4 linked regions of the Arabidopsis thaliana genome follow. The main gene of each other region encodes a partner of the protein of the gene in region 3 in a complex. Each region holds a gene or a part of one and is shown on either strand. Other genes may lie near its edges. A codon is read from its position in the direction of its gene.

Region 1 (8,131 bases), on a different chromosome or scaffold from region 3:
TATTTTCCCTTTTGTTGTTTTCGTTTTCAGAAAATGCTTTATTTACGTGTTTATTTTAAAATATGCTTTCATCAAACAGAAAAAGATATACGAAGTTTATAAAGTACTTCTCGATGGTAACTATTATTCAGACACTCGGAAAATACAATAAACTAGACAGAGGATGAATCAAATCTAACTACGACGTGTCACATCATAAGAGATATAGATTGGGAAAAATGTCATTTAAATCATCCTTTTACCATTTTCGTTGGTTTAAAGCATGGACTTTAGATCTCGTAAATTAAATCCTTAATTTTATGTTGACTTTCAATTTAATCACAAATTCTCGTTGACTAAGCCAATTGAGGCACAATTTTTTTTTTTCGGTGTCTTCAATCGACCTAAAGACGAAAGATTACTTTGAATTCGAAGAAGAAGAGATATTCCAAAGAAGATAAGAGATTCTGAAGAAAAATAGAGAAAAACTCAGAAATTTTGATTAGAAAGATTTCTAACGATGTGTCTTAATTGGCTTAGTTAACGAGAATTCGTGATTAAATTAAACGTCAACATAAAATTGAGGATTTAAATCACCAGATCGAGAGTTCATGATTTAAACCAACGAAAATGGTAAAGTGATGATTTAAATGACATTTTTCCCGATAGAGATTCGGTTTGGGATGGATCATAAGAGATCATTAAGGAATAGTTCTTGTGTAAAGCCCGTAAACCGGAAAATCGGTTATGGTTTGTGTTTAAATCACCCGGTTTAATCGGTTGGGTTAATGGAAACCCTAGAGTGTACCTATAAAAGAAGGAAACTCGAATTAGAGCTTTGGTTAGTCATTTTTCGTTCTGTAAAAGAGAAAAAGAGAGAGAAGGAGAAGGATCAAAATCGTTAGGATTGGGGAAGAAACAGTTTCAACATATCAAATCGTTGTCAAAGGTAACGAAATTTGGTAGAGTTATTTCGAAGTCTTTCATCGTCGTTTTCCATTTTATAGAAGTTGTTTTGGATTTAAGCTCATTAAGTTATTCACAGTTTCGTGAGACACGTTTTTTCAGACGCGAATTAGGCCCAGCAGAGATTATAACTGAGATCGTGGTCTTGTCTAGTTTCTAATCAGCACGAGATTTTGTGGGAAGCTCGTGACGTCGAAGGCTACTATCAGTATACATACCTATTCGGATTCTCGTTATATGGAAGTAGACGTACGTGTTTCATATACACTAACAAGTCATTTATCATAAATAAATGTGAACTATATATGTTTATAAGATTAAGAATTGGCATCTGTTTGACTTATAACCAAAACTTTGAAAGCCAACAAGTATGAGACCTGGTCTAATACCACAAGCAACAGACTACTTACTATACAGTGTATTATAACATGATGGAACCAGAGATAAATAAAAAATGTACATCAGACAAACTCCTACATAGTTTCTCTCCAGCCCCATAACCGGAATTACATTAAACCGTACCAAATGTACTCGGTTTACAGTCCAACCAGATTTCACCGGAGTTACAGCCCTTATGATGTTCCTCTCCTTTTGCACCTCCAAATGCACTTTTTACCTGTAAAACCAAACATACCACAGTAAATTTCATGCCACTTGGTTAGACCAATGTACCAAATTCCAATTGAACTGTGAAACATAGAAACTTTCACTAATTTTTTTACTGTGGTCTACTGTAAATGCAAACACTTGGATTTGAAAACAGTTCAAAACTTTTCAGCTAAATTCAATTTAAAACTGATACTACTTGGCTAGACAAGTGTGCCAAGCACAACGCGCATCGACGATTTATTTGAATTGTGTAGGAAGATTGAAACTTACTGAAAATTTGGAGACTTTCAATTTGAAAATGTTTAGAATCTTTATGTGAACTTATTGTTGAGAGAGTCGGATTTGCGAGTTACATACCCGGTTTGTGAAAGCCGTCTCCAGTTCAGTATTTCATGGTGATTCTGCAAGTAGCTAGACGTTGTACTTCCTCCTCCAATACCATTTTCTTCACTAGGGAACTGCTCTGAGTACCCTGGAGACCACTCGGGGACTATGCCTCCGCTTCTTTCTCTCCTTCCGCTGCTGGAAGATTCCGCTGTTGAGTCTTCAGTGCTCTCTGCAACAATTCTGATATTAAATTCTGGAATCATAGCAGTGACTTGGTTTGAAGCCGGTTCTGCTCTCCGCTGCTGAGCTTGGTTGGTGTTAACCATGTTCCTTGGAACCTCTGCTCTGCTATCTCCTACTGAATTTCTCAAATTAAGAGACGACTCTTCGTCTTCTTCAGGTCTGATCAAAGAAGAAGTAATGCTTGGAACCATCTGATCCTCATATCTCCTGTTTGGGTTGAGTCTGGTTGGTTCAGTCTCTTCCATTGTAATGTCCCTTGGGAACTCTATAGGAGCTTCCTCTACCTCAGCAGAATCTCCAAGTCCTTCTTCGGATCCGTTCTCTATTGCAGCTCTTGAAGCAGCTTCTAGTTGCCACATCTGTGAAAGCGCTTCATGAAGCCGTGCTTTTGCTTCGTCTAATCCTACAATTGGTAGAGGATAGTTTGATCCAAGCTCGATACCAGCAGCTTGAAGAACGGACTCAGGTGCGTTCCACGGATGATGTATCCAGTCTGTCGGGAGTCTAGAGAGTTCAGGAAGCCATCGCCTTACGTATTCACCATTTGGATCAAACTTGTACCCTTCAAACTGAGGGTTATCTATGCGATCAAACTCCCGGCTATCCGGGAGAGTACCGGTAATGTATTGCCAACCAAGAGCATCGCTTTCTAAATCCGCATCAAGAAGTGTGTCCCAGAAATACTTCATCCCCCATCTCCATGGTAATTGAAGCACTTTAACAAAGAAGCTTGAAACAACTACTCTTATGCGATCATGCAACCAACCAGTAGCCCATAACTCTCTCATCCCGGCATCGACCAACGGATATCCAGTCCGGCCTTGCCTCCATGCCTTGAAATAGTTCTCATCCACAGCCCAAGGGAAGAACTTTAGATGGCCAAGAAGTGGTCTTTCATGGGAATATGGATGGTTAAAACTTATGTACCTAGAATACTCCCTGAGACCAATAGATTTCAGGAAAAGATTCACGCTTTCTTCCCCGGCCTCGTTTCCTTCGTTTGCCCACGCGACCTGTTTGATCCGAACAAGATGAAAAACTTTTCTCACACTCACTTCCCCAAAATGCAAGTGTGGAGAAAGAAACGAGGTTGTAGCACTATCGGCTTTTCTGCGGTTCTTAGAGTATTCAAGCAATGGACCGTTTATAAACGTTGTGAGAGCTTTATCACCATTACTCCATCCAGGAGACCAAGCACGAGCCAGAAGTGCATTGCTTCCTTTCTCAGAGTCATCCTCAAACACCAATGGATCCGCAACACATTTAGACACATCCCCTGCAACATAAAAGAAACATTATTGAATGATACAGATTTGGAAAAAACGAAAACCCACAAGAGAGAGTGGCAAAGAAACAAACCTGAAATGATCTTCTTAGGTGGAAGAAGAGGAGACTCAGGGTCATAAGGCATACTAAGACATCTCTCCCAAAACGCAGCAAACATAGAGAAAGGACGGCCTAATTCATCAGTCACTTCCCATGGCTCATAAAGCAAGTCTGCGTTGAATGATCGAACCGCTATGCCTTGCGCCGTCAAAACATCTTTAGCTCGGTGATCACGCACCAAAGACAATGGATCTGAAAAAGATCAAAACTTTATCATTTCCAGATCATCTTATTCCACAAATACATCAAACAAAACATAACCCATAAGAGAAAAGATGATTCCAATCACAAAAATCAAATCTTTTTATCATGCAAATTCAAAGATAAGATAAAGAGAGAAGAGAAGAGGAACAACAGACCATACAAATGGTTGAAGAAGATCTGAGAAGCACCAGTGGATTTAACAACATCAAGAAGAGAAGCAACACTATCAGTAGATCTCTTGGTGATAAGACAAGTACCAAGACTTCTAAGAGAAGAATCAAGCTGAGCCAAACTGTTCTTGAGCCACCACCTAGAAACCCTACCTGGATGATAGTGTCCTTCTTCTTCTGGTGCCCAAACAAACAGAGCAATCACTGGACCAGCTCTTACTGCTGCTGCTAAAGCTGGATTATCTTCAACCCTAAGATCTCTTCTAAACCATACAATACTACAACCACCAGAACCACAACCAGATACAGAACCAGACATCTCTCACAAACTAAAAAAAACTAAAACTTTTCTTTGCCAATAATCACATAAAAATTACTTTTTTATTCAAACTATTTCCAGAAATCGAAACCCTTTGGTCACTTATCTCTCTCGAGAAGAAAGACAACAAAAAAAAAAAGATTTTTGATGAGAAGGCAAAAAAAAAAAAAAAGCTTATCTTTACGAATATCTCTCTCTCTCTCTGAGTGCCTCTCTGGCAAAATGCAACTATACTTTTGGGAATTATTCACCCAAAAAGATTTTTCCTAATTTTGGACAAAGTAGTCTCTAAGTAATAACCCAAAAATATAGCAATATTTGCATTAATTTCTCTTTTAATTTATTTATTGTTTAGGTTACAGTTTGAAAAAATATTTATCTCTTATTAAATTATAATTATTATTTATTTTTGGTAGAAATATAAAATTATTATTTTTGTCTTAAAGTGAAAAATCAAAGAAAAATAAAATAAAAATAAGTTATCTAAAAAAAAAGAAGAAGAAGAAATTGGAGGTTGATAGAGAGAGGTGAAGAAGATTGACACTAGGAATAATGATTCAATTCACACGACGAGATTTATTGGAATAATTTTCCACCACAACTTTTATTTATTTCTTTCCACTTGAAATATTATCCCAATCCAGTTGAACCAAATCAACTGTGACTCACAAGATTTCTACTCCTTTCCCTAAAATTTCTCCTTTTTTCTTTGTTCAAAAAAAAAAAAAAAATGTAGAATCTTATACTATAATTCTCTAGAACATATTCTACATATAAATATTAAACTGATTTTTTATACACTTGGATTTTAGTGGGACGATTATTGGTTAATTATCAAATGGTTCAATTCGGATTTCGGTTCTGATTCGTTTCGATTTTCGTTTAGGTTTTTAAAATTTCTGTGTTATGAAAAATGGTATATTCAGATAAAATAAAATGATATAATAAATGATTTGGTATAGTTTTGGATTTGAGGTTTTTGGATTATAAATATCAATATGGTTTAGTTTGAATCGGATCGGTTTATCTGGTAAAACAAATGATATCTTAATTTTATTCTTTTATTTTTTTAAAGTTGATTATTAAGGATAATAGAGAAATCATATAAATGATGTACCGAGGATGGTTCTGAAATGTTATTGGAAGGTTAGGATATGAGAGAGAGTGACATATTAGCAAAAGTGGGCGAGAGATGGATATGGTTGGCCCTCCTTGCCTTTTAACATATTTTAGGACTTTTTATGTTATCTATATATATATATATATATATATTGTTTTTGGTGTGGAGAGTGTTTATCTTGATTCATGATAGAGTTAAGACTCCCTTGACAAGTCAATTTAAGTTACCAAATCACTAATCCAAAATTATGAAACCTCTTTTACGGCTTTACCCAATTTTAATTCCATCACATATATGTTTGATAGTTTAGATCTACATTTTTCTCTTCTGATTAATTTTTATAGTGAGCGTAGTTGTCGAATAGTCTTCATAATTGTTTTTAATATGTTTGATAGTTTAGATTTAGATTTTTTTCATCTGATTATTTTTTTAGGGTGAGCGTAGTTGTCGAATCGTCTACTTAAATTTTTTAATAGCTTTAAACATGATACTGAGAGCTGGTTAAAAATATATTTTAGGTTCGAAGAAAATTGATTTATAACTTAGACCTACATAAAAAAAAATAACAAATCAGAATCACTAACTAGCTACTTGTATTTGGTTAAATTCCATCATATGCGTAGGACATTGAATTTTGTGGGTAAAAATTAGAAGATACAAACATACATTTCTGAAAATCATAAATATTCATCAGATTAAGTATACAACAAATTGACGAAAAAAAAAATTTACAACTAATTTACTTTTTTTTTTATCAATAACACATTAATTTAAAGATAACTTCATGATTGGTTTACCGCTCAACAATTAATTCACATCAGACAAAATATATTTAACAAAGCGGATAAATAATATAAAAATGAATAATGATGACACAAATGAACGGATTACATACATTAAAAAAAACAATCATGATATCTGCTCTCGACCACCTCTAAATTAGCTTGTTTTCGAGTGTAAATAACGTGCCTTTTATTATTTTATTGCTCGTAGGAGTATTCATAATATAGCTAGAAAGAGCTTATTATTTTATTATATGTATGTACAAAAAATAATAGAGATTATTATTGATTTTGCCTTTTTTATAAAAATCTTGTGAAAATGATATTTTTCCTAAAATCTTACGGATTTATTATTTTTAACACTTAAAAATGTACCTCGTTACGTTTTTTTAAAATACATACTTATACCAAAGACTAAACCTAAATATAACGAGTAAAACGCATCTTAAATCACATTTTTGTAACCTCAAAAAGGGCAAAATTTACAAACTATTCAAAAAGGAAAAATTCATAAATACAATTAAGAGAATGGCAAATCCGTAATTGATTCATTATAATATATACAATCTAACATAGAAGAGTACCATAATGACAGTAAAGTTATATATGGATATAATAAATTAGAAAACTTCTGCTTTATTACTAGTGAAAATTCCCAAACAAAACTCCAACTATTTTATATTTGAACGTTTAATATCCAAAACTTTTCGGTTGGAAAAACAATACACATACAAAAGAAACTGTAAAATTTAATACACAAACAATTAAATATTTTTATTTTCATACTCACGATCTCAAAATAAAAATAAAATTCCAATTTTATCCTTACTAGCTCAATTAACTATTAATTTTTAGGTGATGAAGCGCTAATTTTATTTAATTTTTAAAAGTTACATTTTATTAATATTTTGTTTCTATATTATTTGCTTTTTAAAATTCAAGAGAAAAAAGCAAAAAAAACTTTTTAAAAATAAAAATAAAAATAAAACATTTTTATGAATTGATCAATCTTAAGAGAGACAATGAGATCGGATTAAGATTTTGTCGAAAATAGTTTTATTTGTGAAGTATTTAAATTCGAATAGTAAGTTTCTCACGACGAAGAAGAAGTTCATATCAATGCTCGTTGATATCATATTCATTACGACGAATGAGATCAAATTAATTTTATTGGCGATTAAAATTATGGATAGGATTAAGAGGAGATCATGAACGGTTATCAAATTTGATGTTGGCAAAACAGGACAACGAAAATTGTTTACTGTCGATTCTCATAGCGATTAATAGAGGAAATCTAGAATCGAAGATTGAATCCCAAGATAAAACATCTCTTTGATATTGTGACAATGTAATATGATTGTAAAAATGAATATTTTTAAATATTTTGATTTTCTCCTAATTTCTTATGTTGAATTTTAAAATAAAATATTTATGAGAAACATGAAATTTTAAAGTTTTGAGACAACATAAAATAAAATGTTAATAAATTAATTTTTATCAAAACTTATAAAATTAATGTCACATCATCTAAAATTAATAATTAATTGAGATGGTAAGGGTAAAATTGGAATTTTATTTTTGTTATGAGAATGTAAATATGAAAATAACAATATTTAATTGATCTACACTATTATTTGAGACGTACGTTAAGTGATTCTCAGTTAAAATTTTTTTTTACCTTAAATCATATGTTTAAAATGTTGATGTCATGGAAAAAAATACCTTTAACTGAGAATCACTTAACTTACGTTATAATCTTGGCCATTCGATTGAATTAATTGTAGTCATTGATTTTTTTTAATAAATCTTACAGCAAGATTTTTGGAGAGAGAATTTTTATTTATTTTCAATTAACATATTCCCTTATTGAATACTATTCATAATTACGTGGGTTTAAAATTGGAAAACTAATTATACTCATATATCAACAATATTTATTCTATTCTAAAAGATTATTAATCCAATTAATTTTTTTAAAACATTTCCTAATCAAATCTGCTTTATTTATAGATATAACATTATAAAT
Region 2 (5,692 bases), 3.4 Mb from region 3:
AGTTCACAATTCATTTGGACATTGCTACCATTACTTAAACTGTTAATTACAATATATCATGATAAATTTAAATTTTAAAATAATGGCATACTTAGTTTTATCTCTTATGTATATACTTATTTTAAAAATATTAAGTTGATCCCCGCATATATTTTTAGATCTTGTCGTCACAATATTACATAAAGTTTTTAACCTCTCAAAGGCTCTAGCTTTCAGCTCTTTGTCATTGACACCAACTCACGAAAAACATATCACGCAAAGTATGGAGAAGAATAAGAGGAAATAACAGAGTAGAAGAAAGGGAGAAGAAGAGAGAAGCACACAAATATTTGTTCACCTGGTTCACGGTATTAACGAACCGCTACGTCCGGTTATGATCTTTCTTTCGATCCACATCTTTCCACTATGAAGAAGAAGGTGACTACAAGAGTTATAAGTCAAAGCTTAAGTGGAACAGAGACTTAACTGCTGGGCCACAATAACATTGTTGTGAATTGATAGTGATAATAAAACTAGAGCTTCTTGTGCTAAAGTAAACCTTAAAGGTTGCATCTTGAAACGCCAAACGTGGCTGCTTGAAACACAAGATGAGAAGACTGTCCTAACTTGTGCCAGCCCTTGCAACATCGTGGACACCCTCCTTTATGATCCAAAAGCATTTAACTCAACCCAAGTTCAACTTATATTAACTTGAGTTAGCTTTAAACTTGCTTATCAAGTTCATATCTTCACAGTTTTGATTTGCGGTTTCTGACTTCATTCAAAATTTTATTATGATGATGTTATGTTCCTTTGTTTGCTAAGAGTCTGAGAATCGATTCATTATGAAAACTAGAGTATGCATATGCCAACACTTTTCGAATCATTTGATATGACAATCATTGAAGACGTATGGTCAGTTTTACGCAAACCAATTGATATGAAGTGATATTTCGACACTTTATGAGTAATGACGACGAAAAATGATTAGATTATCTAATACTTGAAAGGGTTCTCCTTCAAGGTTATACCATTTACTAAAAGAGAATTAGTGGTTTGTTATTTTAGAATATGTAGATTTCTTCTTCTTTTGTGTTGCTTTCGTTTGATTAAGTTTTTTCTCATGTTTGAATTTTCATTAATAACTAAATATCTTAATGTTTGGTTTCTTTGCACAATTTTTCTCTTCTAAGGAAACTTGAGAGCAATTACGAGCACATTCTACTTTGATTCCTTGGAATAAGGTTGTTTGGTTCAAGAATGCAGTGCCAAGGTATTCTTTCATCACTTAGCTTGCATTGAAAGGTAGATTGCTTAAGAAAGACAGGCTCATAAGTTGGGGACTGAATATCTCTGCAGCTTGTGTGCTTTGCTCTAACGGTATCGAAACCCACAACCACCTCTTCTTTAAATGCTCTTTCTCTTCAACCGCGTGACAAGTTTTTGCTTCTCGAATCTGGCCTCGTTCACCATCAACGTTGGCCTCCATCGCCTCTTGAATTTTGCAGTCTCGGACACCACCACAGCTGATTGTATGAGTTTGTGTTCTATATGAATGTTAATCTTAATAGCTCAACTCATTTATTTTTGCATATCGATTTCTTACAGAGATTGTAAATCAAAATTTATTAGTTCAACATTAAGTAAACTATATAATTTAGGATACAATTGTGAGAATTAATTCAAAAAACAACAATCTTCTAACAATAACTTAGCCCCTGATTAAATCAGGAAACATTTTAGTTTTAATTATCCTTAATCTGCTATTAACCGATATACTACTACCATGTTTCTTTCACCGGAAAATATCAGAAACTCGGAACAACACCGAATCCGCCATAAACTCCGACGTCTCCACCATCATTCTCTCTCGAATCTGTTCTCTTAGCAAAACGTCCTTTGATTCTCGGCCTCATCTCAGCGTAAGCTTTACGCGACGCATACCTAATCGTCTTCTCAAATTTCCGATTCTTCCTCTTCTCTCTATACCTCAAAACCCTTGCTTCCCTCTCCGCCGGTGATAACTGCACAGCTGGCGTCTCCGTGTTCGTCATCTCCGCCGTCACTCCTCCACTTTCAGGCACCAACGGTACATCTATCGTTCTCGTCGAAACCTAACAACATTTCACAAACTCAAATCAGATCCAAACTTTCAGATCTAGATCTGAAAATTTTCCAGATCCATGGAAGCTTAAGAAGATAGAGAGAGATTCGTACAGTTTGGTTGATGAAATTGAATCCTTGTTGAGAAATTTTGGAAGCAGAGAGATCGAAATTGAAGTAATCTTCGTTAAGAAACAACTTATTCTGCACAGGAACAACTCCGTCGTTACCGGAGCTATTCTCCTCCGACGTTACCTCAATCTTCGGATAATCAAGATCGGAGAACAAATTAGTGATTTCGATTCCTTCTTTAGCTAAAAGCCACGAAGCAGTGACGTCACCGCCATCTTCATCTACGAAATTGACGGAGGAGGAAGCGGATTTTGCTGGACCTACAGCGTCGTAGAAAGGAGTGATTGGTACGCGCTCGTGGCGGCGAGAGAGTGGATTAGCTGAGTGGATATCACGGTCGCACGTGACGCATAACGCAGCGGCGTCAGCTTTGCACGTGACGTGTGCTGGTGCTTGTTCGCATACTTCACATAGCCAAACTCGTTCGTGACGTGATGCGAGTTTGTTAGCTGTGTGGATCTTACCGTCGCAGTCGCCGCAGAGAAACGCGGCGTCTGCGCGGCAGAATAGAGTTGCTGCCGTCGATTTGCACGAATCGCAAAGTCTTGACGACGACGCCATTGATGCTCTCTATATCTCTCTCTACTGTTTTTTTTGTAGAGAGAGGGATAATAATGGAGTCGGCTTTTTTTTTGTATTGACTCTTGGTGTTATGGAAGTGGCGATTGTACCGGACGCGCAGGGAGTGAAGTGGGTCATGGAGATCTGGGAATAGCGAATAGAGAGATGACACGTTAGTGAATCTTAGCCGAATAGTTGGAGTTTACGAGACATTTAGGAGAAGTGGGGCTAATCATGTGAAGGTGTATTAACTTGGGTTCATGTTCTCACGGACTTTCACAAAAGGAATGGAAAGTTCCTTCTTTTTGTCGGCAAGGAAATTCGAATTTACCCATGGTTACTTAATAGTTAATAATTACCGTAGATGCTATGTAGGCCTGGGACTAAAATCCGTTATCCGCGGGTATTCGAATCCGGATCCGTGATCCGATCCGGAAAACCGAATAATTAGGTGCGACGGATCCGGATACGAGTCCGGCGGATCTGGATACGAGTCCGGCGGATCTGGATACGAGTCCGGCGGATCCGGATACGGATCCAGATTATGAAAAAAATCAGAGCCGAATATCCGCATCCGTTCAATATGTCTACATATTTGTATTATGGGCTTAAGTTATATTTGTATCCTGGGCTTAATCAAATACACATTATCAATGTTAAGCCCAATAGTCCAATATTAGCCCACTACGACAAAATGATGGAATTTGAGTTTGTTTGGGACTTAACTATTAGGGTTTCATAACATATTTTTTCTGCCGCCGTGAATGTTTCCTTCATCACCATTTCCTTCACTATCTCCATCTCATCTCCATGTAATCTTCATCACCGTCTCCCCACCATATTCATCTCGGTTCCACCGTCGTAAATTTATGGACGGAAGTTTACTTACGGGAATGATGATACATGGGATTCAAAGTGTCGATGGCGGAGATGAATGAGGAGGAGCAGATTGGACACCGTTAAAGACGAGATCTTGGTGGTATGTGCCTTGCAAAGTCTGATGTCGGGCACACGTCGATCTCTTTTGGTGGTGAATTCAATCTGGTTGGTGAAATAGGAAATTGAATTTGTTCCCAAAAATAAACGGATCTCGAATATCCGCGGATATCCGGTTTTTTCATGGATATTCGAAATCCGGATATCCGAGGTTTACGGATCCGGATGCGGATCCTAAAACTACATATCCGCCGGATACGGATACGGATCCAGATACTCCAAAAAACCCGGATATCCGGATCCGTAGCAGGCCTAATGCTATGTACAGCCTTTTGTTTATGACTAGAAATCGTAATTTTTATTGAGTTACGATAATAAAACAAATTTGTTTAAGTTAATTTGCTCAACACCCGCCATATAAAAGATTCTATGGTAAGATCAAGAAAGAGAGCCACCGTCAAGTTACATTCTCTAAACGCCGAGCCGGACTCTTTAAGAAAGAGCTTCACAAATCGCTTGTGTTTTGTTTTGGTAGCATACTAGCATTATTAGCAGGAAAGTTAATCAAATAGCTTAGGCTAGTATCTTGCTAGTTCTATATATTCCTTGCAAATTATTTTTGCCTCTTTGAAAACATTAAAAAAAAATCTTACTATCTACTAAATGGCATAATAGTGTCAACAATTTTATCATTAATTAAGGAGCAGACAAATTACATAAATTAGGACTTCTAAAACCCCAAACGTTTGAGCTTCTGAATCCAAGTCGGCAAAAACACCACTTGGAACCAATTCAGTGTTTCGTCTGGAATCAGTTCAATATTTCATGTTAAAAAGTGATGATATTACCCCTTATGGGTCTCAATCAAAAATCTGTGTTGGGTTTTTTCTTTCAGAATGAAACAAAACAACAAAAAGAGAATATTAAGTGAACATGTCATTGATATTAACTCTTTAAGATGAAGAACTAAGATAAAAAAAAGATACTAAACAAACCAATAAGTAAAAATGATCAAAGTTACACTCTTGAGAAATGTGACAGATTGGTGTATGACGATGATTTTAGCCACTTCCCGACTTCAATGTATTACTCAACCTGAAGATCAAGATGGAAATGAGAGAAGAATATTTGAGAAGAAATGCATAAAGAAATGGGTTCAGTGTTTCAATAATGGGACCAAGAAAATGGTTCGGTTTCAGAATGTGCTTACCAGTCCAATCCCTCGAAAAGTCCCTCGCCTTTCACAGCACAAGTTTTGAAGATTGCCCATTGACGACTCTTTATCTTATGCAACTCCAAGGCTTCTGTAACAGCCGCATCATCGAGTGCACCGGGAAGATCCTAAATTAAGTCGATTTAATGAAACTCAGACCAAATAGTTATAGATTTTTCATCAGCAAAAAAGTGTCTTGTGCATGCAAAACAAACTAAAGCTTTTTAGCAACAGAAACCAATACAGATTTCCAGATGAATCAGCCCAAACTAATCGGAAGAGCAAACATTTAGAGACTACTAACCTGCTTGTTTGCAAATATCAGAACCACCGCACCTTTCAATTCATCTTCCTATAAAACATAGTTGAAAAGATAGTGCGAGTTAAATGCTGACAGTGGCAGAGGTAAACTCAAGTAAGCATTGTTGCTGAGAGTTTAAGATTAGCTAGCAAGATCTACAGAGAGAAATGATCACTTGTTCTTTCCGTCCAGTACTAACCGAGATACTTCAATTTCAGTATCACCTATTAGAAGGCTAACAATACTTGATATACAACTTACAAGCATCTATAACAAGTCCTAAACAAGAAACTGAACCAATATTGTATTTCCATTCAACTACCGATATACATCATCATCGTTTTACCTCAATTACTTTTGGATGCAAGAAGTCCATCACAAAATAATACAACAGTATAAGAAGAGGAAGCCTCAGCAGTACTTTACCTCTAAAATTGCATGAAACTCCTCTTTCGCCACCCCGATTC
Region 3 (10,082 bases):
TCGTCGTGAGAATAAAATAATTAGTAGTGTTATTACTAATTGTTGTACTAATATATCTATACTTGACGTAAGTTTAGTGACGGAAAAATATAAAGAATACATCACATTTAGATTTCATAGATATATGCTTGAGTGACTCCGCCTATATTATATACTATACGTATTATAAACTTATAATACGATGTGAACCTGAAAGAAAATATATGTGGCTAACGTGAAACGATATGATATTATCATAACAACGAAAATTCCAATTATGTGACCATCTAGTTACTTTAATAGCCTAATATTGTAACATTTCTTTAGAACATTGACTTGGTACTGTGTTTTATTTAGTTAATTATATAAACTCAAAATATTAACACACATTCAATCTTATCCACAATTCATTTTCATATATAAGACTAGCCAATTTCTTTATTGATTTTTCTGATTAATTACTACGATAAATTTAAGTTGTTGTTTCGAGTTTATAAGATGTATATTATAAGCAATTATAAATTAAAACGTACAAAAAATTGTAATTTTTTTAAGACTAGTTTAATATAATTTTTTTTGGGAAGAGATGTATTTCGCTAGCAAATAATTTCTAAAAGAAATAGACTAAAAATTGAATCTGAATATACAGAGACTAAGATTTAGACCCGAATTCGCGGTTATTTTTTAAAAAATAGGATAGGTATCGAATTATATGTGTAGAATATCAATTAACAAAAAATGTTGTATGAAAGTAGTTATTTAATAGAAAGAAAACTAGGATTTGATGGCTATGGTTGCTTAAAGGGAAGAAACACATTAGTGTGTCCAATTCGTTGTGAAAAAGTCGTTCTTTCCACTCAAAAGAGATTGTTTACAAAGTCAATGACTTGTAACTTAGGGAATTAGAAAAACCTGTAAATAGCATTCTTTTATTAAGCCACCTAACCTAATTATTATGACTAAGATGACCAAGTGAAGTATGTAACGTTTTTAGGAACGAAAACAAAAGACGAAAACTAAAATGTTTGGCCATGTGATTTAAACTTCACAAAGCATGCATGATTTTATATAGACATCATGCCATCCCTAGTTGCGTATCCAAATTTAAAAGGGTTACTCTTATAGTATTGATACGACCAATTTATGAAAATGTGTCACACAATCACTTTGTTATGAGTTAATTTAGAGGTGTTAAGTAATTGTATATAATTTCACTTATGACACAAATTCGTCAATTCTCATGAATTTTACATTATAAAATGATTTTTTTTTTTCAATGATCTTGCTACATGAACATACTAATGACTTATTGCATGGGTCGGACCTTTTGTATAAGCCAAGGTTTGACTTTTCATGACCGATTCACATCACCGCATTTTGATTCTAACATTTAATTATATAAAGTAGAAGCTAAGAAACCGTAAGACATATCTACATCACTGATACAAATTCTTCTTGAGGAGTGTTCCAAGGCAAGCATAATAATACAAAGTTGCTTTCCAAATGATGAACCCTACTTTTAATAAATTGTTCTCTCTCTATATGTAACTCCCACTAAAGAACATAGACGGCAAATTTGTTTTTATTGATTCACGAAGCTATAAGATCTTTTGTAATGTCTACTAGAATCACGCAGCGAGTACCAGAACTTTGATGGTTCCTTGACTATTCGCAGTCAACATCGTGGGACTATCACTCTTCCAGCAAACCGCACTAATAAAGTAGGAACCTGCCTCTTCCTCTGCATCGTCCATGTCTGGCGATCCAAATCTGTGCGATGTCACGGGTCTCGTGATTTCCTGCATCGCATCATTCACATTTTAAAATACTTGAGCAACGACAGGTTGAAAATCTGTGAATCATGAATGAAAAATGCTAAAGTTGAGAGCAGAGGTTTCGGATTTGTGAACCTTGTGATATACATATACTTCGTTTGTCTCGCTTCCACAGGCGAGATACTCGCTGTTCACTGTGAGACCCACAAAGTTCTTCTCGTTAGTATGTCCTCTGAATGTTCGAACCTGAAAAGTAAAATTGAACAACATAGTCAAGACAAGTTTTTCTTTTTGACTGAATCTGCAAGATTGGCTCGGGCAGTAATCTAACTGGCAAGTTGTCTTTGACATCCCATAAGCGTAGTGTGCTATCTGTGGACGCAGAAGCGAGCTCGTTGTTGGACAAAAATTTAACATAGGAAACTGCTTTCTTGTGTCCACTGAAGACATGAAGTGGTTGGCTTATGTTTCTTAGATCGTAATAATGGATGTGATGATCAGCTGATCCGACCTGTGATAAGTCAACAGGCTTAAACGTCTAAGTCTCTCTATCTAATTAAAGATTATATCTAGAGACGTGTGATAGTGTCATGCTGATCATGAGTGGTAGCGAATAAATGTGAGATGCAAAGTTGAGGCGTGGAAGTATATACCGCAATGTAGTTGCTTGAGCCAGGATTGTACTTGACACAACATATGTTTGCTTTCATATCAATATTAATCACACTTGCTTCCTGCCTCGTGCACCAAACTTTAACCTGGATCAAACACACAGCACAATTGGTTAATCTATGAGACATGATTTAACAGATGCAATAATGCATGGTTGAGGATTAACTAGTAGTGAATTGACTTAAAAGGAGCCCACTGGTATAATATGCTTTTGTCAGAATTAGAAATCCAGTGAATTTTTCAATAACGTTTAATTAAATTTGGACAAATGAAGCTACAAAATTTCAAGGTAAAATCTACTATATACAAGTGTCCAGTTTCGTTTGTTTCCTAATGTATAGCCACCACAGATACACTAAGGGGAAAATTTTGCTGAAAATTTAAGAAACCAACAAACATTCAATGTAGGAAGGGCTACATATGACCAATCCCCAAGTTGGGAAGAACAACTCAAAGAAAAGTTTAAGAAGTAGTAGAAAAGATTCATGAGAACACAATGTACTAATGAGCAAGTAGGAGATTCTCCAGTTTTGTTTCACAATATGTCTCTTTAGTTCGTCGTAGAAATTAGACAAATCCGTGACCAAGTTAGTTATAAGAGCTAGGAGATATCTAAAAGTAGTATTCTTTTTATATGAGACATAGCCCAATGTGAGATGAAAGGTGATAACGGAAAATATGGAGATATTTACCTTGCAGTCGTCACTACCAGATACAAGCATTGATGGTTCTGTTCGTGAAAAGTCAACACTCCAGGCACGTTTTTCGTGCTCTTCATACTCCATAAGACTCTGCCTCAGTTTACATAAAAATTCAAATACGCTGCAGAATTCATGAGATGAATATCTTATAGGTGCGATGTTAGATACTTTGGGTAAAGTACTCACCTGCCTAGTAGTTACATCCCACACTGTTACTATTCCTTCATAATCACTGCTTGCTATGTGATTTTTTTCATGCTTATTCCAACTCAAGCAACTAAGTTTAGACCGAGTTGACATCTCCACAATCGGACACTGCATATCTGCTGGTTCATTTACAACCTGAAAAGTAGCAGCCGATAATCAATCAGTTCAGCGTGGTCCATTGGATAAAACAGAAAATTAAAACCAAAAATTTGATTAGCTTTGATTTATATTCTTCTACGCAATACAAAAGTGTAAAATGGCTATCTTGCATCAAAGCTAGAATTTCCCAAGAGCATAACTTAGTTTCATTATCAACGAAGCTTTCTTAGAATTGAGATGCATGATCAGTTTCACAAAAGCATAAGGTTGGACAAGAAGATTCAATTGGTATGTAATTGAATGCACTCCAAGATTTATGAACGTACCGAAGAGAAGTCAAAAACCTTTATACATCTAGAAACACCAGCAGTGGCAAACAGCTCATCATCACGATCAAACTCTATGCTGAAAAGGAACAGCACCCTCTTCATCAGCAAAATCAGTAAGATGGTACATCAAATTACAGGTAAACTAGAGGTCCAGGCAAAGCATAAAGCATGTAAACTATGGAAGACCATAAACCAAAGCACATAGAGAGAAAAAGATATGAGCCCCGGAGCTCCCAGACCATAAACTAAAAATATATATCTTTCGTCTCTTCATTGAGAAGAGACACTTTCATATAAAAGATCGCAAACCGATTCTATATATTCCGACATGGATAAGGATAACATAGTGTTCCATCTTTTAGAAAATTCTCCTCAAGTGGCCTGCTGACTACACAACCTTCTCCCTACCATGTCAGCAGTTTTATCTTCATACTATTCACTGGCTTAGAATTACACAGCAACGAATCCCATAGTAATAATTGCGTCTATCAATACATTAAACAAAACTTAATCACTTAAGGGTCTATTTTGATATATTCGGAGACATTCTTTTGGTACCTATCATCTGTTATCTGATCAACGAACAAGGAATAGAAAATTCACCTTGATACAATGTTGGCTGAATGAAATATATCCCCATGCCGGATTTCTGCTATAACTCTTAGACGACTGTGAATAAAGAGTGCAATTAAAACCCCAACTAATTCGAAAACACTCTTTATGTACGGCTAGACCGATTGAAAAGGGATAGTCACTCCTCTACCTGTAGCGAGTGAAGGTAGTCAACACAGATTGAAAATCTGCAAGGCCGTTGCTATAGCCTTCCCTCCGTACTACACTCTTATCATTTTCTTGTTTACTATTTGGTTGGTCTGCCAACTGACGCCGCTTTTGGAGGTAACATTCTTGTAAATCATTGAACTACAAGACAAGACACTTTAACAGAATTAGGCAATCTGTGCATATATCAACAAGCAGTTACAGAGAGATTAAAGGACCATGCAGGTTTTTTCAAGAAAACTACTATAATTGTGATTGCATAGTATTCACAGAACTGTTAGTGTGTCTAGAGAACATAGTGACTTTTTGTTGCTATAGTACCAGAGAGACAAGAAGCGGCTACTATCACTAAGCAGTAGATATAAAGTCCAGAAAGCTATTTCTACTTTTACGTGCAAACAATACGAAATCAATCTCTCTGAAGTCCAATCGGCTTTTTATAAAGACCACCAAAAATGTGGGCCTTAATCTAAGGTATCTTTTCCGTAAGAAGATTCATCCTCTACCCACAACCACTTTCAATTTCTCGAGCTGTCAATCCAGATGACCAAGAGCTGAGTAGCTAGGCATGGTAGTAACTGTAACACAATCACTGGGGCCTAATTGTAGTAATTATTCTTATTCTTTAATAGACAAATATCTTAAACTTTAATGCCATTGTCCTTTTACCATTTCAGCATAAAGATGTTGAGTAGACAAGGAGGAACAAACCTGAGCATGAATCCGTTTCTTTCTAGCCATTGAGACAGTTGACTGATTCAAACTTTGCGAATCTGACCCACTCAGCGCATCCTTCTTTGGTAGCCCATGAGAGCTTCCTTGTGCCTTCCCCTCTACCTTTTTGTTTTGATAATTGCCTACAAAATTTCCTCCTCTTATGCTGAGAGAATTGGAGTTGAAACCAATCTGGTTCTTCTCATGTGGCCATGCATTTCTTGTGCTTGGATCATCTCCGAGCATCCGCAACTTTACAGAATATCTGTCCCTAGCTCGGTATAAATCTATTCTATGTCTCTCAACGGCATTTATATCTTCTTTAATATACTGGAGATCAGTTTGCACCTACATTAAGATAGAGAAGACATAAATGACAGAATTCTATAATATTCTGAGATCTCATCTAACATTCAGGGGTTATACGTCTCATGAATAGTTGGATAGATCATACATCTATTGATAGAAACATGGTTTATGGCTTTCTTTTACAACAACTATACAGTCTAAACCCAGTGAAGATTTTGAAGCAAATGGAATGAAGAGCAACGAGAATAATTATCAATAGGTAGCCCAATGCTACTCCATAATTCAGACAAACCAACCTCATTTAGTTCATCAACTTTTTGCTTCCTTAGACAATGCAAAAAGTCCAAAAGTATCTGCATGTTCCTCTCAGCTTCTTCCTGTTCCATTTTTCTCTTCCTTTCCGCAAGAAGTGTCAGAAGATTATCAACCTCCTTAATTGACACATCACAACCCTGTCTAAGTATGAACGCAGGAAGTCAATATTTGATCAAAAGAAATGACTTAGAATTGCTTTTTACTCCAATAATAATTCTGAGAAAGCAAACTTAAAGAGGAAAAAATGAAACATAAAAAGCTTGTTAAGAACCGACCCTTTGTAGTGCTTCCCGAAACTGATCCAAGGGCGATGCAGTTTTTGACACATGCCGAGCTGAAGTTTTCTTCAATAGCTACACAATTGATACATAAACGTCATATAATAAGCTGCATTCCAGTGATAAATAGTTTCAATACACTATCATTCCTATAAACATGCTTCTATTTAGCTGTAATAAGCAGAATCCTACCACAATACTACACATCAAAAACAAAACAAAACCTTCCTAAGAAAATCTAATGGCAAGGTTCATTGGAATCGATTAAAGACTAAGCTAGCTTACTTGTTTCCACAAAAACCACGACAAAAACCAAACTTGATTACAAGCTAAGACTCAAACAAGCAACACCCGAACTTGAACTGAAAAGCTAAGGACCAAACACAAATTACGAGTAAAATTAGAAAAAGAAACCTTATCGAGCAAGAAATTAGGGTAAAGCTGATTATTGGTGAGGTGTTGGCTACAACAGGGACAATCACTCTTGTTCCTAAGATGTGTGATGATACACATATAGCAGAAACTATGACCACAAGCCGTGAGGAAAGCATCTTTAATAATCTGCATACAAATCGGACAAAGCAAGTCTTTATCCAGATCCGGTGCTCCAATCTCAGAACCGCCGCTTCCTCCGTCGTCATTTTCATGACGATTAGCACCTTCACCAACTGAAGATGTTCTCGGGTCAGGTTTCACCGCTGGAACAACCGGATCCGTCGAAATCTCTTCCATTTTGCTTTCAAAAGATTTCTTCGATTGTGATTTTGGTTTTTGAGAAAATCGGAATTGTGAGAAAAGAGTGGTTTGGGTATGACGTCGGAGATGAAGGAGGAGTGAGGCTGAGGTGTGGTGGGATCCACCGTGGTTCTTTTCTGAGGTGACAAATCCTACACGTTCTGGTCTACGCGCTTCTTTTCGCGCGTGTGTCTGGCGTTTCTCCAAGCGCTGGTACGGTTTAATTATCCGGCTTCTAATTTATAGTCCGGTTCAATGAAATTTCTTACAATTACCACGACGGTCTAATTTAATTTCTTACAACCATTCATTTTATTTCTTACTATTTGAAATGAATAAGTTGGGAATTTCAATCCATTCAACCGGAGCATAACCCTAGAAATAGAATAAGTTTTGAAGGATTCGGTTTAATAATTTTGGAATAAACCATTTTTATTTCAGTTCTTAAATTTTGTTACTGTAAAAAATGACTGAAAAGTGAAATATATTTTAATTTTCCCATCACTGGAAACGTTCCCTCCATTCTTTTGCTTGTCTGGGAAACCCAAAGAGACTGTGACGGAGAAGAGAAATGAGCTAAATAAATTCCTCTCTTTGATTCACCGGAACCCTAGAAATCCTCTTCTTAATTCTTTCAAAGGTGCGCTGTTTTCACTAGATATCGCTGTTGTAATTGTTGTTGATTCGGAGCTAGGTTTTGTTTTTGTCTCTCTTTCGGAGAATTTGCATGAAGCTAGGATTTGTCTGTTGATAGTTGTATGGTTTTGGCTGCGTTGTTTCTCTCTTGAAAGTCTTGTTATGCTACTGTATGACACACTCGAATGAGTTTTTGTTTGTGTAATGTTTCTCAATTTTGAAGGCGACCAACAGTTAAAGGTGCCATTTTTTTTCCAGATTAAGTTTGTTCCTCATCTGAAATTTATACCATTTCTCGCGATTTAGCAGGATATGCCCAGAAATTAAAATCTTAGAACGACAATGGTGGTAAAGTTTTTAGCTTTTTACCTTTTGGAGTTGTCTTCTTAATTTGGTGTTTTTCTTTTCTTTCTTAGTCTCCTGAGCATTGTGTTTTGGACTGGTTTTTGCACACTGTAACCAACCTCCACTTTTCTCTCTTGCAGATTATTTTCCCCTGGAAGGATGGAGACATCTTCATCTCTGCCACTGTCACCCATAAGTATAGAACCAGAACAGCCCAGCCATCGAGATTATGACATCACAACTAGACGTGGGGTTGGAACCACAGGCAACCCAATAGAATTGTGCACCAATCACTTTAATGTTTCTGTGAGACAGCCGGATGTAGTATTTTACCAGTACACTGTAAGATTCATTAGTCACTTTTCTGCATTCTTTCATCAGTGTCTGTGCGTGTGTGAGATGTTTGACATATCGGTACCTTTTTTGCAGGTTAGTATCACCACAGAAAACGGTGATGCTGTTGATGGGACAGGAATAAGCAGAAAGCTTATGGACCAACTATTCAAGACTTACTCTTCTGATCTTGATGGTAAAAGGTTGGCATATGATGGAGAGAAGACTTTATATACTGTTGGTCCTCTACCACAGAACGAATTTGACTTTCTAGTCATCGTGGAAGGGTCATTTTCAAAACGGTATGTCCCTCTTATCTGGATTGATATTTAATCGTTTCAAGGTGTCAAGATAGATCTTGTTGATCTTCTAACTAACGCAGTCTTGTTAAGTTTATAGTGATTGTGGTGTCTCTGATGGTGGTAGTTCTTCCGGTACTTGCAAGCGATCAAAACGTTCTTTCTTGCCAAGAAGTTACAAGGTTCAGATACATTATGCTGCAGAAATACCGTTGAAGACTGTTCTTGGCACTCAGAGAGGAGCTTATACACCAGATAAGAGTGCTCAGGATGCACTTAGAGTGCTTGACATTGTACTGAGGCAGCAAGCAGCTGAAAGGTAAATCTTTCTATCTGTTTGCTTTTGTGCAGTTTATATTTTTATTAAAATAGATACTCTACGTTCTAATGGACCAATTTTTATTATCATATTTTCACTTTGTTGGTGAAATTTAATCAATGTACAACTATTTGCATTTTGTGACCATGCTCGATGCTTACTATAGAAAACTGTTGATAATGCAGGGGATGCCTTTTGGTCAGACAGGCATTTTTCCATAGCGATGGGCACCCCATGAAAGTTGGAGGAGGTGTTATAGGTATTCGAGGTTTACATTCGAGCTTTCGTCCAACTCATGGAGGACTCTCGCTTAACATTGGTATTTTTCAGTATACCTTTCTCATCTCCAGCTTTCATAAACTTGTCTTAATTGTGGATAGTTTTATTAATAAGCAAAACTGTTTTCGTTTTGTGATGGTTTGCAGATGTGTCAACAACAATGATCTTAGAACCTGGTCCAGTTATTGAATTCCTGAAAGCCAATCAGAGTGTTGAGACACCACGGCAAATCGACTGGATTAAGGTAGTTCTGGCTTTTAAATGCAATAACTGAGAACATGACTGGCTGCTTTTGTTTTGAGCTTGTGAAGTTTTCATTGAAACTTGGCAGGCTGCGAAAATGCTTAAACATATGAGGGTTAAGGCAACACACCGTAACATGGAATTTAAAATTATAGGTCTAAGTTCGAAACCGTGCAATCAGCAACTGTAGGTTCCCCATGATTGTACTATCAATATATATTTTGTCCTCTTTTTCAGCCTTTGCTTGACTTTCTTCACCGTTTTCCAGGTTTTCAATGAAGATTAAAGATGGTGAACGTGAGGTACCTATTAGAGAGATTACTGTGTATGACTATTTCAAGCAAACCTACACAGAGCCTATTTCTTCTGCGTACTTTCCATGCCTTGATGTTGGCAAGCCAGATCGGCCCAACTATCTTCCACTGGAGGTATCCATCTCCAGCAGTGTTTCCTTCGTTAATTTTTTTGTAGTCTCTTATCCCACTTCTGGAGGTGTGTATGTTTGAACTTCTAATTCTTTTCTTGCAGTTTTGTAATCTTGTATCTCTGCAACGTTATACAAAACCATTGTCAGGGAGGCAAAGAGTTTTACTTGTTGAAAGTTCAAGACAAAAACCTCTAGAGAGAATTAAAACACTCAATGATGTGAGCTTCGTTTTCTGACCTCGGATGATGCTTGATCTATCTTGGATGGCAAATACTGTTACTGACTAGAATTGTAGGCAATGCATACCT
Region 4 (5,269 bases), on a different chromosome or scaffold from region 3:
TAAGAATGCGCTCCCGAGATCAACTAAACCTCTCTACTCTTCGACGGCGCAGCTCATCTAAAGGGAGATCATTAGAAGAAGAAAGTGCTGGTCCCTGATTCAGTGACCATCCATTTCCTCTAGCCCGTCCCGAGCCACACATCTCGCAAGCACTTAACCAACCAGAATTGTCATATGTACACGACTGACATCTCCAAATACCAGGTCCTGCTATCCCAGTCTGACCTCTTCCCACTCTTCCTCTCCCCGTAATCCTCCTTCTCCGAGACCTAACCATACCATTCAGAAACCTCAAGGGCCACGTCACCAATCGAGATACACCTCTAACCGCCATAGTGACTGGATCTGAGCCTGAGTAAGAACCTTTCAGCTTCAAATAGATAATACCAGCAAGGATTCCACCCAAATGCCCAAGAAACGAAGCGTTAGGTACAAACATCTGCACTAGAATCAATTCTGCCCAAGCAGCATACTTTGTTGGAACCAAGATACCATACACACTTGAGTAATCCTCAGCTTGAGAATTAAGAACAACTTTCATAGCAAAGAGAACACCCGAGAACCCAACCGCATACTCGTTGTAGTAAGCTCTGTCATAGTCAAACAAGAGAAGAAGCGATTTGGCTAACAACAATGTGACTCCTTGAGACATACCAATAAGAGTAAAGACCATTGAAGCAAACTCACTGCTTCCCATTGATGTCTCAAGCTTGATACCTTTCCAGAGAAGTGACATCATGTTATAGACTAAGTGAGGCTCGTTAACATGGTAGAACGCTGATAGAAATAAACGCTTCAAGTCCTTATGCTGTTCAACAAATACACATCAAGATTAAAAAAAAAAACTTTAACAGAGAATAGAATTAATCAATCAAGAATGATCTAATTAGATATCGAAGAACAAAATCCCTAATTCTCCAGATATTGGTACAAATTTCCCAGGAAACTCAAATTCGAATTTCAGATCGAAATCGGTCAAATTGCAATCAATTTCTCTTGGCGAATGAAGGAATTTATTAAGATTGGTTTACCTTGAAGATGAGGTGAGGATTGAACCAGACCTCACTGATGTGAGGAATAACGGGATCGATAAACGCCGGCCTGAGATAAACGAGAGTGTTCGCGGCCAGGAGACTCGCCGTCACCGGTGGTTTCCACGGTAGTCTATAGTACTCCGCGACGGCGCTTAGAGCCAGCAACGGCAACATTCCGCCTCCACTTCTTCTCCCTTCACCAAAATTCTCCATTTCTTCGTAATTATTCTTTTCTTCTGATCTCTCTGAATCACTTACAAGTAATTAAAATCTCATCTCTTTCACAATATTTATATAGCAGCAGCTTGGTCTCTACGAAAACAAATTCTCCAGAGACTTCTTCGTTTCACTCGCATAAGAACATGTGGGACCCACCACGGCATTTTAGAACTCTAGTTTTTATACCTAATCTCTTCTTGCCTTTTTTCGTTTTTTTTTACTTTATTTTGCAAATCTGAATGACAATGATGCTCAAAGTGAATGTTATTCGAACAAAAAGTGTATACAAACCAAAACCAAAAAAGAAAGAAAGATAATCATACAACACTGAACAATGGATTAAAGGGTAAATATTTAGTGATTGTCATCAGTTTTAGGCCTTGTGTTAATAAGCATTTTACGAAGCATTGTGTTCTCGTTCGTCAAAGTAGAAATCTTCTCTTCGAGCTGGTCATTGTTGTTCTGTAACTCATTAGCTCTTGATTCCAAATCACTCACATACACTTTCTTCCTCTCTCTTGCTTGTTGCGCTGATACTCTGTTCCTCAATAATCTGTAATTTTTCACCACAGTTTCTTTTTTACCATTTCAATTCCACAAATCGAATGCTAAGAAAAAAAAGTTTTTTTACTCATCATTGATTACCTCTTGAGGCTTCTATATTCTTTATCAACAGGGTTTCTTCCACGGCGGCGTTTAGCTGTAGAGACTCCATTTTGAGTCTGGTCAAGCTCCGGATTGTTGACTCCATCGTCGGCGCTGCTGCTTAGAACACATGTTGATCCAGCTGCTTCCATGTCAGGAACCATCAACAACTCCTCATCACTTTCCTCTGAGAATTATACAAACCAATTTCTCTAAACCAAATTAAGTTAAATATTAGATAAGTTTCTTTCAACACCTACCAGTTTTGTGCTTCTTGTGGGAAGAAGACGAACTCGAGTTCCCATTGGGTCGTTGGAGAGACATCAATATCTTTTTGTCTTTTGAGATTTTGCTAAAGACGAGAATAGAGAGGTAAGAGGTTGAAGAGAATATCAAACCAAAGGAAATTGCATCTTTTCTTTCTTCTTTGGGGCCACTCAAAGTCTGCAACTCGTTTCAAACAAAAAAAAAGAGAAAAGTATTGGTTGGCTTATAAAAGAACACGTAGGTTTATGTAAGACCACAAATGCAACTGTTTCAATCCAATGGTGTGTATCTGTGTTTTCTTTTCCACTATATCCCGTTGAACTTATTAATTGATTTATTGTTCTGTTTTGCTTTTAAAGTCTTTGTTCATGATTTCTACGGAAAACAACCTTTAGTGAGTATTCACAGAGCGTGTGGGTTTAGGACAATAATTACTGTCTAGAACCATACAAACGTACTTGCAGACAAAGTCAGAGGCACAACTATGTGTGTGTGTATCTATTTGCATGGCGTAATAGGCATGCATAAACTCATCATGTGGTCATATATCTCGTTTTCTATTTTTTGGTACACAAATAACTCTTTTGTATAAAGACAGCTAACTAATGTTTTGAATTTTTAAATGTTATCTCTTAAAATTAAATTCTACCAATTGTAAATTCAGTCAATCATTCCGAAGCATTTTTTCATGCTTTGTGATTCCGCCATATATTTTCCCATGTTCTTTTTTACGTTTTTCATCATAATTTTAAAGTTTTACGATTTTTTGTTGTTATCAATGAAAATGGACCAAGTAAACTTCTACCGTAATGGTTGCATATTAGATAGTGGACTTATGCGCGCGCGCGGAAACAAAACTTGGCCGGTTGAATCGTCGTCTGCCTGGCATCTAACAGTTTTTTCGAACATTGTCATAATCAATATATTGAGGGATGTTAATCATGAAGTCGTATGGAATGGACGCGGGAAATCACTCATAAACAATGTGAACATTTTATAAGGTTATAAAGAAGAACAAGTTTCATCCTTCTTTTGTATATTTCGACTCATACATATCTTTCTATTCAGGAATAAGTATAAAACATAATATAACATGTGGCATATCGACCGACCAATACATCTTTCCCAACCCATGATCAACCTTCTGATTGTGTTTTAATTTATTCGTCATGAAATGGATCAGAATACTCATGATGAGTTTGTGTATCACTCAAGGGACCCCTTGTCTTAAAATCAACTAAAATCATTTGATGTAACTTTTATACGAAGTACTATCCAAATAATTAATTTTCATAAGCAGCGGACATTCATTTTGTTTGTATGACTATATGATTTTATTATTTGAAGCTGTATGCAAACGTGGAGATATGATTGCATCTTTGTCTATGCATGAACATGCCACGTTAATTTAGGAGTACATATCATGATATTGATCTCTCTTGCTATAACTTTTTGGCACAATACTATTGCATGCCTCTCTATATTACTTCAACAAAACGTTTAAATTTACCATGGTTAGAACTTAGAAGTAATCGAGCTGCAAACCATGGTGATCATATTTTTTCTCGTTCGCATGCTCGGTCTTAATATATTGAGAGTTATGGCCAAAATTTGAATACCATTTTAAGAAACTTCAGAAAATCAGGAGTTTGATTATTATCTTTGGTTCTTACTTACTTCAACGAAAACTAATGACAAAACTCTTTTAAGTCGAGGTATGCGAGTAATAACTCCTTGGACATATTTTTTTGATAAAAGTTTAATTGATTATAGACTTATAGTAGTCTTAATTATTATTATAAGTATAAAGAGGAGTAAACATTCATCATTAGACTACTAGACATTATAAAGTTATATATATCGAAATTCTAACAAGAAGGATCCCTAGAGACCAGACATGCATGTCCAAAGACAGATCGTATAATAGCTAATAGGAGTCTTATCGATCCAACATCCAAGGTAGGCTTTATTACAAAGTAACTATTAGAGTGCACTTCCCATGATGATTCTAGAATCTAATATTATTATCAATACAGCCAATGAGCATTATGTGATGTAACAATTTATGTCTACTTTATATTTTGAAGTTATCATAAATCAACGAATTCTATTTTGATTTTCAAAAAAGAGTAAAAGATTTGGGCTTCTAAGAGAGACAATCCACAAAGCTAAAGAGACATTAACAGGAAACGTATAGTTAAAGAAAAGAACACTGTCTGCTCCACAAAAACAATATACACAAAACTCTTCAAGTCTACCTTATTTTTATTGGTTCTGCAATTTTCAATGGTCTGTTACATTAATGTGTCATAAGAGACAATTGAGTTTTCTTATCAACAGAAGGGTCTAAAAAATTGATCCCCCAAGTTCATAGTCTATAGACTCAGTTTTTTTCTTTCAAATATTGATGTGTAAGAAAGTGAAAGTGATGTGATGCTCTGTTTCTGTTTACGGCTAGACAATAAAGCCTTTTTTGGCCCTTATCTCTCCTAATTAAAGAATCTGAGCAGTTGAGAAATTAAAATCAAAGCCTTAACAGATTAACTCCAACATCATTTAGACACACTTTCCTTGGATACCACCTTTTTACGGAAACTTCGAATCTTACATGTAAACAAATCTCAAAACCATAATTTCACATTTTTACTACTAACTAACTCCAAAGATCTAAACCCATGAATTAAGTATCTAATCGGGTAATTATTACAGTGGTTTTCAGAAATCAATGTGTGTTCATATTTAGAAGGTTGAAAGTTCATAGTTAAATGTGGGGAACCTTATGTTCCTATTATTTATTTATATTAAATTTCAAAGTCGATTAAATCAATTTTTAAATTCAAAATCTATGCAATAGAATCACCTACTAGTCCTTTTTTGTTTAACTAGACAGAGAGAAATAGAAATAGAGAGAGAGAGACATGAAGAGCACTCTCAATAGAGAAGAGAAGGAAGCATGAAGCTAGCTCTGCAGCTTCAAGGTCTCATTAATGGAGGTCTCTAACTCTTGTTCTTCATTTTCTTCATCCTCTGTCGACAGTACTAAACCTTCTCCTTCTGAATCTTCTGTTAATCTCTCCCTTAGTCTCACATTTCCTTCTACTTCT

Evidence for each region.
Region 1: the proteins of COP1 (region 3) and CRY1 are in contact, whole or in part, in a crystal structure (PDB 6QTW), measured with the Arabidopsis thaliana proteins. Residues at the interface, in NP_180854.1 of Arabidopsis thaliana: Ile373 (codon at 4,376), Ser375 (codon at 4,370), Val391 (codon at 3,795), Lys422 (codon at 3,412), Leu423 (codon at 3,409), Ser424 (codon at 3,406), Tyr441 (codon at 3,355), Trp467 (codon at 3,181), Asp484 (codon at 3,130), Asn507 (codon at 2,455), Cys509 (codon at 2,449), Ala526 (codon at 2,256), Ala551 (codon at 2,181), Ser553 (codon at 2,175), Thr568 (codon at 2,130), Lys593 (codon at 1,970), Asn594 (codon at 1,967), Phe595 (codon at 1,964); in NP_567341.1 of Arabidopsis thaliana: Glu544 (codon at 2,324), Asp545 (codon at 2,321), Gln546 (codon at 2,318), Met547 (codon at 2,315), Val548 (codon at 2,312), Pro549 (codon at 2,309), Ser550 (codon at 2,306).
Region 2: the proteins of COP1 (region 3) and COL3 are in contact, whole or in part, in a crystal structure (PDB 6QTX), measured with the Arabidopsis thaliana proteins. Residues at the interface, in NP_180854.1 of Arabidopsis thaliana: Ile373 (codon at 4,376), Ser375 (codon at 4,370), Gly390 (codon at 3,798), Val391 (codon at 3,795), Lys422 (codon at 3,412), Leu423 (codon at 3,409), Tyr441 (codon at 3,355), Arg465 (codon at 3,187), Trp467 (codon at 3,181), Asp484 (codon at 3,130), Asn507 (codon at 2,455), Cys509 (codon at 2,449), Ala526 (codon at 2,256), Ala551 (codon at 2,181), Ser553 (codon at 2,175), Thr568 (codon at 2,130), Lys593 (codon at 1,970), Asn594 (codon at 1,967), Phe595 (codon at 1,964); in NP_180052.1 of Arabidopsis thaliana: Gly287 (codon at 1,814), Phe288 (codon at 1,811), Gly289 (codon at 1,808), Val290 (codon at 1,805), Val291 (codon at 1,802), Pro292 (codon at 1,799), Ser293 (codon at 1,796), Phe294 (codon at 1,793).
Region 4: the proteins of COP1 (region 3) and HYH are in contact, whole or in part, in a crystal structure (PDB 6QTT), measured with the Arabidopsis thaliana proteins. Residues at the interface, in NP_180854.1 of Arabidopsis thaliana: Ile373 (codon at 4,376), Ser375 (codon at 4,370), Tyr441 (codon at 3,355), Trp467 (codon at 3,181), Asp484 (codon at 3,130), Lys505 (codon at 2,461), Ala506 (codon at 2,458), Asn507 (codon at 2,455), Cys509 (codon at 2,449), Ala526 (codon at 2,256), Asp527 (codon at 2,253), His528 (codon at 2,250), Lys550 (codon at 2,184), Ala551 (codon at 2,181), Ser553 (codon at 2,175), Thr568 (codon at 2,130), Lys593 (codon at 1,970), Asn594 (codon at 1,967), Phe595 (codon at 1,964), Phe646 (codon at 1,700), Ser648 (codon at 1,694); in NP_850605.1 of Arabidopsis thaliana: Leu28 (codon at 2,068), Leu29 (codon at 2,065), Met30 (codon at 2,062), Val31 (codon at 2,059), Pro32 (codon at 2,056), Asp33 (codon at 2,053), Met34 (codon at 2,050).

Annotation. Positions count from the first base shown.
Region 1 is NC_003075.7:5,720,332-5,728,462, reverse strand, and holds CRY1 (cryptochrome 1), read right to left. Parts: upstream 4,813-8,131; 5' UTR 4,204-4,812; coding exon 3,870-4,203; intron 3,703-3,869; coding exon 3,484-3,702; intron 3,401-3,483; coding exon 1,912-3,400; intron 1,562-1,911; coding exon 1,558-1,561; 3' UTR 1,195-1,557; downstream 1-1,194.
Region 2 is NC_003071.7:10,564,042-10,569,733, reverse strand, and holds COL3 (CONSTANS-like 3), read right to left. Parts: upstream 2,899-5,692; 5' UTR 2,776-2,898; coding exon 2,197-2,775; coding exon of another isoform or gene 2,113-2,196; exon of another isoform or gene 2,111-2,112; intron 2,094-2,110; coding exon 1,788-2,093; 3' UTR 1,589-1,787; downstream 1-1,588. Other genes in the region: AT2G24780 (uncharacterized protein), read left to right, coding at 3,895-4,053; ARF3 (ADP-ribosylation factor 3), read right to left, coding at 4,773-4,806, 4,922-5,052, 5,229-5,276, 5,652-5,692.
Region 3 is NC_003071.7:13,974,808-13,984,889, reverse strand, and holds COP1 (Transducin/WD40 repeat-like superfamily protein), read right to left. Parts: upstream 7,010-10,082; 5' UTR 6,891-7,009; coding exon 6,573-6,890; intron 6,234-6,572; coding exon 6,156-6,233; intron 6,022-6,155; coding exon of another isoform or gene 6,018-6,021; coding exon 5,862-6,017; intron 5,605-5,861; coding exon 5,254-5,604; intron 4,684-5,253; coding exon 4,526-4,683; intron 4,432-4,525; coding exon 4,366-4,431; intron 3,839-4,365; coding exon 3,760-3,838; intron 3,470-3,759; coding exon 3,314-3,469; intron 3,218-3,313; coding exon 3,119-3,217; intron 2,513-3,118; coding exon 2,408-2,512; intron 2,266-2,407; coding exon 2,086-2,265; intron 2,001-2,085; coding exon 1,890-2,000; intron 1,779-1,889; coding exon 1,608-1,778; 3' UTR 1,281-1,607; downstream 1-1,280. Other genes in the region: AGO6 (Argonaute family protein), read left to right, coding at 8,034-8,216, 8,304-8,509, 8,607-8,825, 9,011-9,144, 9,251-9,348, 9,436-9,533, 9,616-9,775, 9,876-9,992 and 1 more. UniProt on the Arabidopsis thaliana protein: E3 ubiquitin-protein ligase that acts as a repressor of photomorphogenesis and as an activator of etiolation in darkness.
Region 4 is NC_003074.8:6,020,924-6,026,192, reverse strand, and holds HYH (HY5-homolog), read right to left. Parts: upstream 2,350-5,269; 5' UTR 2,223-2,349; coding exon 2,159-2,222; exon of another isoform or gene 2,086-2,158; coding exon 1,899-2,085; intron 1,807-1,898; coding exon 1,608-1,806; 3' UTR 1,483-1,607; downstream 1-1,482. Other genes in the region: RBL14 (RHOMBOID-like protein 14), read right to left, coding at 20-808, 1,032-1,247; IAA31 (indole-3-acetic acid inducible 31), read left to right, coding at 5,153-5,269. UniProt on the Arabidopsis thaliana protein: Transcription factor that promotes photomorphogenesis in light. Acts downstream of the light receptor network and directly affects transcription of light-induced genes.